Arabidopsis thaliana: one gene and its partner. The protein of the gene in region 1 interacts with the protein of each later gene in a pairwise test. Each region holds a gene or a part of one and is shown in the gene's direction. Other genes may lie near its edges.

Region 1 (5,124 bases):
TGATATAACAAGTAGTGTTGTTTGGACAAAATACATCACTTACTCAGTTCTGCAGTAGAACCTGTCCTGCAGTAATGTCTGGAGAAAACAAAAGATTAGTCTACCTGATTAGAGAAAGATGAATCTTCAAAGAAAGTAATGAAAATCATTCTTAGTTAGTTACCCTTTAGTACAAGGAAGCTTGTCGATAGTGGAAGGACAAAAGGATCCAGCTGAACAGAAAACTTCACTACTACTACCAATATCAGCCCAAATATCAGCTCCACCACAAGTATGATTTGGCTGACCAGAAGGAAGCTGGTAATGATATCTGCAAAAACAATAATCCTGCAGCAATCTTACCATATGTTCAAGACAAACTTAGAAAAATGAGCAAAAACAAGACTTACGGGTCGCATAATCCTGTTGTTCTGTTCAGATTAGCTTCTGGACAATAAGCTCCCAAAGGACAAGCTTCACATCATAGTGAGGAAACAACATTAGAAATGGATCAACAACCGAATCTTTCATCGTTTCTGAATGTTTAAAGGAGGTTAACTTACGGATCATGCAGGTGATACCACGAGGGCAGAAGAAACCTGCGCAACAAGGCGCACATTGCTGAGTTCTAACAGGAACATTCTTGTCGTCTTTAAGGTCAACTTTCACATCTTTAGCAGTACGACAAGCCCATCCAGGCTCACATCCAGACATCCATGAAGATAGATTGCAGTTCTTGTTCGGTTTCAAGTAATTAGTAGCTCTCTTTGCACCTCCTAATAATCCATTGAAGTATATTCTCACTTCTGCAGCCGTACATATCCTCTGCATCATGTCACCTATTCTCAAACCAAAAACATCAGCAAAATTAAAATATTATTTCGGCTTCTGTCAATGAAACAGAGGATGTATAAATATACCTTTTGTGGTTTTACCACATGCGTTTAAGAAATCTGGCTTTGTAGAGAAATTAAAGGCTTCGTTATAATCTTCTTTTCTGAAACAAAGACAATAACATAAACATCTTCAATGCTATAGGATAAAGGTTAATGCCATTTTGAAACTAACACATTGGTAATGCAGAATCCGAGCTCTCTTTTGATGTCATCCTCAAAAACTTCGGTGAGATTCGATATTTTGTCGAAAACGAATTGGTTATAGAGACGATTAGCCGCGGGATTATCCAAGCTTCTATCTTCTTGACAAATCACTCTTTCTTGCTGAAGAATCAACACGATAAACACGAAGAACAATGGAACAAAATTCCCTGGAAAATATGAATTTCTCCTTCCCATCCCTGAAAATTTTCCAAGAAAACAACGTTGCAAAGAATTGTCTTGAGATCAGGATGGATCAAGGAGACATTAGACAATTGAAGGAGACAGAAAGAGAGAATTAGGGTTTGTTTGTTTTTTCTTTTTTTCTTTTTCTTTTTGGGGAGAGAGAGATTGTTGTGTATCTTGAGAGTCAAGAAATGGATGAGAGGAAGGCATGGCGATATATGAGGAGGAAAGAGACGAAAACAGATTTTAATTTGACCGTTTGACTTTCTCTAACTCGTGTCATGGTAATAGATTCTTCACCAAGGAATCATACTATGTAATTTACAGTTAAGGCTCTGTATTTTGATAATGTTTCTACTGTGACCTCTATAGTTTTGACATTTTTGGTGCAATATGTCAAATAGAAAAGATTTGTTTTTCTGAAAAATATAAAAATAAATTTACCAATGTGTTCTGAAGGCAATTCAGCTATAAACTATAAAAGGATAATGAACAAATTGGTTTATTCATCAATAAATTGGTTTATTTTGGTTTAAACATCGGTTTTGTTCGATGGTCCGGTTAAGACGGATTGTTAATTATTGTCGTTGAAAATTCAACAACTTTTTTTTGGTGAGAAAAACTGAAAGACACAAAATCAGTCACGAAAACCCCCAAATCCACAGATTAATTAGGGTTTTCGATTTCTCTGATGAAACTGAGAAGAATCTCTCATTAGGGTTCTTCATTCTTCAGAGGGATTTCTCATATCTCTCTCATTGAGCTTGCTAAAGCTGAAATCTGAGTTTGAAATTGGAATTCAGATTCCCATCCCATGTTGACCTCTTCTTGCTCTTCTTCGTCTCTCCTCTGCCATCGCCCAGCTCTCTCTAGTTCGCGTTCCAAGTTTAGGGTTCCTTGTCGAACTGTTTTCTCTCCTGCTCTTACCAAGATTTCCCCTTTAACTGCTTCTTCACCTTCTAAGTCCGCCAAGCATGTACGCTTCTTTCTTCTTTTCTCTGTTTATATTCAAAAGTATGAAACTTTGAATTGAAAAAGAGACTTTGGTGTTTGAATTGTGTTGAAATTGAGGAATCTTGGATTCGAATAGCACTGTGGATTCAGTTTATTTACGAAAGAGAGTGCTTTTTGATAAGGATTTGCTTGGATTACTAGTAGTTTTAGAAATTTGTGGTTTCTTGAGGTTTTAGTAATCTTGTGACTTCTTTATTGTAAGAATTCAATATTTGTATTGATGCAGTGTCAAATGGTTAATGGAAGAATCGGTAGTTTGTCTCCAATGTATTAAACTTTGGGGCTATTTTCTGCAGAAATGGAAGATTTTGTGTTTTAGAAATGAAGATTCTGCTCCCGAGAATCCGGAGCATTTTGTGCCTGAGGAATTAGTTAAGCCAGATCAAGATTCTCCATGTACAGATAAAACAGATTGGAAGGCAACTTTTCAAAAGGTAAAGATCTATGGACGTTACTGGATACTTGTACAGTTGAAGAAGAACTACCTTCTGTCTCTGTTTTAGTCTGACAAACCGGTTTTGATATTAGGGTCTAGACTCTAGAGGTTAGGACTGCAGCAGAATCTTATATTTGTCAATAAACTGTTATGTATATATCCATTATCCACTCTTTGTTTTTTTTTGTTTACTAGTGAAAAATAAGAATTTGAGGTTTCTTTTGATCTGGAAATGTGCCATACAAATTGATGAGGCTTTCTATTTACTAAATGTGATGGCAAAAATGCAAATAAGGAAACTCTCACAAAGGCTTATCGATCTTGTGTTCAACCTATTATTATTGGGTCTAAAAAGCACTTTGTTTCGTTGGTTTTCAGGCTGCAGATGCAGTTTTGAAGGCCATTGGGACTCGTTGGAAGGTACCATGGACTGTCGAGACCATTGTGCAGGTACCTACATCTTAATGTTACTTAACCTCTTTTGTATTACCGTATCATATTCATAACTTTTACACAAGAACATTATTGAAACCTATATAGAAATTTTACGGGATTATCTGATAAGAGTGTATTATGGATATTGAGTCTGTGTAAGACGTAGTTTTTGAATGTATAGACATTTAAACGTGGGCTAATATCCTTGACTTAGTAACTAGGGACTACAAGATAACATCAAGCTAATAGTATTATAGATGCTTTGGTTCATACAAAAGATGCAAAACAAACAGTAATGAGAAATGAGTTATATACCAAAGCTTTCAGTTATTTCCTTGGTTAATCCTGCGATAATCTGCCATGCCCCTAACATACACTTTTTCAGGTAATGCTTCTGTGGGTAGCCGCTTTCTGGTTCATTGGTTCATGGATGATCCCATTCATGGCTCATATATCAGGTTTCCACAAAGAATCCCTAACATTTAGAGGCCAAGCTTTGTTCAGTCTGATAACCGATGTAACAGAAGGCCTAGCCGGGATTGCTATCCTCCACCGTTGCCTCTCCATGTTCCGTCCACTTGCAAGTGATTGGTTCCGCTTTACCCTTAAAGGAAACTGGCAACTAGATGTTATCATAGGCTGTTTCATGTTCCCTTTCGTTAACCGGCTCTCCCAATTAAACCTAAACCTCTTGCCACTCCCACCAACCTCAAGTCCAGTCTCACTCTCAAGTGTCGAGCAGTCTATAATGGCTAGAGACCCTGTGGCAATGGCACTGTATGCAGTTGTAGTATCAATTTGTGCACCGGTTTGGGAAGAGATAGTGTTCAGAGGGTTCTTGTTACCGTCTCTAACTAGGTACATGCCAGTTTGGTGTGCGATTCTTGTGAGTTCGATTGCATTTGCTTTGGCACATTTCAATGTGCAGAGGATGTTACCATTGGTGTTCCTTGGAGTGGTATTGGGTTTGATATTCGCAAGGTCAAGGAACTTGTTACCTTCAATGCTGTTGCATAGCTTGTGGAACGGCTTTGTATTCATGGAATTGATGCGATGATGACTATCTTTTGTAGGTGTCTTGTTTCTTATTCTTCTTGTAATTGATTCAAAGTATGATGTTAGCTTTTATTTTTTTATAATAAATGGACAGTTCAATTGTACAAAGATAAAACCAAAAAAGGTCAAAAAGAAATTCTAATTTTACAACTTCAGAAAGTTGAATATGATTGGTCCAAAAATAAAATAAAGCCGGTTATACTTTGATTCGTCTTTTCAAAATTCTTTTTCAAGCTTTTTCTATCGATTGGACTAAGCTTATATCTTGAATTCTTGATGGATATGGAGGAAATGATACGAAACGACATCAACACACACATGTATAAACAAGAAGTGCATGTCAATAAAGTTATATGACTTTCTCAATTAAGGTGGTAATATGAATTATCCGGCCCTTGAGCTCAATTAAGGCCAACAAATTCTTCTTCGACCTCTAATTCAGTTTGCTAATACTGACAAACTCAAATCCATATCACTGTTAACTTTTTACTAAGATTTTTCCACTTATCGTTAAAGGTTGAGATATTTAAATATCTTTCTTCCTCTTTCCTACAGATAAATTCGATTAGTATTTATATAAATATATCAGGTTACACAATACACATGTTCAGGAGCTTATATTATTCTTTATACAGCCTTTTAATCCTTTTGTTAACAACTTTTTGTTTCGTAGTGAAAGATTTAAATAACTTGGTCTTCCCAATTGTTCCGAGTCTATATATTAAGTTTTGGTTAACCTTTAAGTACACTATAGAAATCACTTTTGGCTGCTATTTATTTGCATATTTCTTCTATCCAATAAGTAAACATATTTTAAAAATCTAGAGAGACTCGAGCCTCGAACATCGATTTCCTCAGGATCACCGGGAATGTCTAATTCTGTTAGCCGAAGTCATCGCCGTCAAATCAGACATATTAATG
Region 2 (4,146 bases), about 17 Mb from region 1:
ATACGTTTCAAGTCAAAAAAAAGGGAGGAAAAAGCCTACAAGTTAATCTTGGGAGGAGAATCAAGAAATGTCTAACATACCAATAGTTCATTCATATCGGTAGATGCTTGAAGCTTTGCTCTTTCTTCCAAAGAACGACCAAGGAGCACAAAGCCAAGCAGCATGACCTGCATACTAAATGACAAGAGCTATCAATCAGAAATTTACTATTGAAACTGTATTTTGCATGTAGTGGAAGTAATAATAAAAAGCTTTCATCCTCTTGTGGATCTGCTAGAGAAACTCACCGGTTCATCGAAGAAGGAAGCATCCCACTCCAGTTCTGGATTAACTAGTGAGATCTGCAAAATTCAGAATGCAGAAACTGCAGGTTTTCAGAATAGGATACTCACCAGTCAAATATAAATTACAGGGTACAAAAACTCACCAAACTGATGGAAAATGCAGCCATGGATCCCAATCCAACTAACGAGTTCATATTAGGTGATCTTTTCCCGAAAGCTTTTATGCCATCAAACAGCAATTCTACAATATACATCTATCTGTTTCAGTCATTTGTGTTTCCGAACAGCCTCAAATATCACTACCACCACTTTGTTATGAAAGTCGCAAAGAATAGTAGGAACCATCACTATCACTTAAGAAGTTTGAAAATTCAGAGTTTCTCTCTTATGACAACGACGACTCAATTAAGCTAACCATTATCCATAAGAAGAACTGATTCAACAAAGCTCACCTATATAATCAGAGTAGAACACTAGCACTTATCTAAGTCTAAACAATAGCCTAAGAACGACTACTTTGTCATCTCTCTCTTATGATACTAATTACTAAACTTATTATGCATTAGCTGGTAAGAATCATAGATTCGAACTAAAAGTTTAAACAAAAGCAAACCTCTTCCTGGTCCCAACAAAGCTCCAACGGCCAAACCACCTTTCACGTAAGAGTTGTGTAGCAAATCCCAAATCCCTCCTAGTAACATCAGGTGCAAGAGAAAGTCATAAACTACATCTCTTATCCAACAAATGACATCTAGCATCACAATTTTTTTTGCATTATAATCAATGTACCATGAGCAATGTGAATTCCCAAGGAATGAAGAATATGCGAAGTGTGAGACCCGCAACACAGAGCCACCAATGTCCACGCAAACGCCACACGGTTCCTGCTCTTAACAAGCAAGTCCTCTTTCTTACTTACCATCTCCTTCCACTTCTTCACATTCTCCGCCACTCCCATACCCGAGACTCTCCTCTTAGCCTCAAAACCACTCTCTGTCAATCTCTTAGCTAAACTCTCTGCCGTATCCGCCGTCACCTCAACCTCCGGTTTAAACTTCACAGCCGCGGTTTCAGTCAGCATGTTAACCACAGCAGACGCGACTCGATCATCAGACATCAAAACCGATTTAACTCGGGCGACGCAGCCACCACACATCATCCCACTCACATCGAGGAGAATAGGCGTGTCGCTCGTAATGGATTTCACAGATTCGATTGAAGATTCAGTAGATTCAAATGATTGAGTACTTATCTCGACCGAGTTTGATACTAAAAAAAAAGGTCGCGAACAGTGCCGCCGGATACGAGAACGGCGCAGTCTTGGAAAGCATCGGTTCACGAGGAACTTACTTGGACGAATATGAAGACTCGATGGCGGAGGAAGAGGAAATCGGAGAAGATTGCTCGCCATTTTCTCCGGCGAGACAGACGACGATAGTCACGCGATGTATACAAGTAAGAAACTAGTGGTGGACTGGTGTATGGTTCGTTAAAAAGAGTATCGCTAAACGTTGACACGTCGGATTTGGAATATATCCGAACATTAGCCATTTTTGTGGAATTTTTAAAAAGCCAGGCTGTCACCAGAAAAATCAGAGAGAGACATAAAACGCAAAGTTTTAATAGGTAAGACCTTCTAACTCAGCTAGAGGATTACAGCCCCCGGGACACAGCGATGCCACGTGTCATCTTCCTGAAATATTGTTTTTTGTTTGGAGGTAACTTTATCTTCTCAAGCTTTCTTCTTCTACAACACATCTAGAGCTTTGCAACAATGGAGGCGAGTGCGAATGAACCAGCTATGAAAAGCTTGAAATCCAATCCTTCAGGACCGATACCGAACTTTTTCGTATCGCTCTCTTCGGCATTTACGCAAACACCTCTTGTGCGTTCGAACAAACCCAATTTGCTTCTTCTACCACCAGTTGCAGACTCCGTCAAATTGATTCAAGACTTTCATCAGTCTCTGATTTCTGCTACTGAGAAATTTAAAGGATTCCTCCATTCGCTCGCCTCTAAGAACCCTCTCTTTCAGGAAGCGGTTCGCCTATCTTCCGAATTTCACATTTTGTGCGACGAGGTAACTTCTCTTAGCCTGCTTATGCTAAAGAATGTTATGGATTAAGTTAAGAAGATGATTGTGTGTTTCTCATGAACTTGCCTTGGCTCTGATTGTTACTGTAATGGGTGAATCTTTGTGGTTTCTATTTATACAAAATGGGTCATTCTTTAACAGCCAGTAGATTGTTGTCTAGATCATTTAGCATTTATTGGAAAACCTTCTCACATTGATAACCCTGAGTTATATATGTCCTCAAGTTGGGATCTTTTTTGGTTCTTTTCTTGTAAAGATGAAACTTGGCTTCTGGATAAGTCCGGTTATGATTTTGTGTGCCTTTGCTTCTGGTTTTGGGTTCTTTATGTCTTAAAGATGAAGATCATTTTGTTGCATTGCAGATTCGTTTGAGAAACACTACAAGGGTGAGGTTTGCGATGTCTAATCACGGATTTGCAGCGGTTCTGCCTGGAGATTCAGTTGCAGGATTGGTGGTTGCTAATGGTTTGATCAATTTCCTCAACATATATAACACCATCCTTGTCGTCCGTCTAGTACTCACCTGGTTCCCGAGTGCTCCTCCTGCCATTGTTAACCCCCTCAGGTAAAACGTTGCCTTCAAATGCCACAATGATTTTATATCTTATCCAGGTTTAAAAGTTTTCGATCAATCCATGAAAACAAAATCTAGATCATAGAAGTCCTATTCGTGATTGTTGAAGGTAGTCTTTTTACTTGATTTAGAGGAAATTTATTTTGGATAAACTCTGTCTACTACTTTTTTGTCCAACTCTTAAATGGATTAAAGATTGGTTAAACCCTGATTGATCTGCCCAGGAACCCTAGTTGATTCCTATTTATGTGTATATGCGTTACCATTGTTTCAGCACTTTATGTGATCCATACTTGAACATTTTCCGGGGATTCATACCGCCTCTTGGAGGATTAGATTTGTCTCCCATTTTGGCGTTCCTTGTTCTCAACGCCTTCACCAGCTCGGCTATGGCACTTCCTTGCGAACTCCCGTCAGCTGATGGAGCCGTTTCTCCAGCTTCTAGTGAGACAAAGTGGGTGAGAAGGAGAAGGTTGAGCAGCCACAAAGACCACAGACCGAGCTCAGCTTCTATGACCTGAACCTGTCTAAAATATCTACTCTTTTCTGCGCTTCAAATGTAAAATCTACCTTTCGAGTAATTTTATTACTCTGTATCTTTGGATTTCTGAGTTTTGTATAAATTTTCTTTAGAAAATGAATAAAAGAGTTGTGTTCCTGACATACAGAAATATTGTAAAAATTTTGCAAGAGATGAGCTTTTCTTCTTCATTTGTGGCATCAAAACAACTTTCGCTCAGATTCTAACCAGAGGCTTTGCATATCAAGACGAAAACAAGAAGGATGAGGATGACAAGCAATCCACCAAACGAACCACATAGCCTGTGAATCCAGTAAGGATCAAACCTGGTCAAGCTCGGGTCACTGTACAAGGACAAGGCTATGGCTAAAATCAACAAGAGGAGAAGCAGAGAGAAGGAAAACATAAAGCTGAAGAGTTCTTCTTCCTCTTCTAGATCTTCCTCTGATAATCTGTCGATGTAGAGTGGTGAGAGCACGGCTAGTACCGACAAGCTTATGGCCAAAAGCTTCCTGGAAGTAGTAAACCTCCCCATCATCGGGCTGGATGATCCCGTTTCCATCAGAAAAATGCCAGTACAAAATATATAAAAACAACTGGTAACTTTCTTTACAATCCCCGGTTGGTGTTCATCTGAACTAAAATGGCTTGTTTCTTGGTAAGAATCTGAACA

Evidence for each region.
Region 2: the proteins of AT5G60750 (region 1) and YLMG2 interact in a protein complementation assay, tested with the Arabidopsis thaliana proteins (one large-scale study listed by BioGRID).

Annotation. Positions count from the first base shown.
Region 1 is NC_003076.8:24,428,996-24,434,119, forward strand, and holds AT5G60750 (CAAX amino terminal protease family protein), read left to right. Parts: upstream 1-1,834; 5' UTR 1,835-2,076; coding exon 2,077-2,238; intron 2,239-2,572; coding exon 2,573-2,710; intron 2,711-3,090; coding exon 3,091-3,162; intron 3,163-3,532; coding exon 3,533-4,204; 3' UTR 4,205-4,399; downstream 4,400-5,124. Other genes in the region: ABCG28 (ABC transporter family protein), read right to left, coding at 44-78, 164-310, 390-453, 543-818, 900-976, 1,048-1,274.
Region 2 is NC_003076.8:7,240,678-7,244,823, reverse strand, and holds YLMG2 (YGGT family protein), read left to right. Parts: upstream 1-1,943; 5' UTR 1,944-2,058; coding exon 2,059-2,364; intron 2,365-2,741; coding exon 2,742-2,944; coding exon of another isoform or gene 2,945-2,948; intron 2,949-2,983; exon of another isoform or gene 2,984-3,227; coding exon 3,228-3,474; 3' UTR 3,475-3,623; downstream 3,624-4,146. Other genes in the region: PAA2 (uncharacterized protein), read right to left, coding at 81-167, 288-341, 428-525, 898-975, 1,074-1,695; AT5G21910 (uncharacterized protein), read right to left, coding at 3,697-4,035. UniProt on the Arabidopsis thaliana protein: Not required for the biogenesis and accumulation of native cytochrome b6 in the thylakoid membrane. Not functionally involved in the pathway for covalent binding of the c-type heme to cytochrome b6.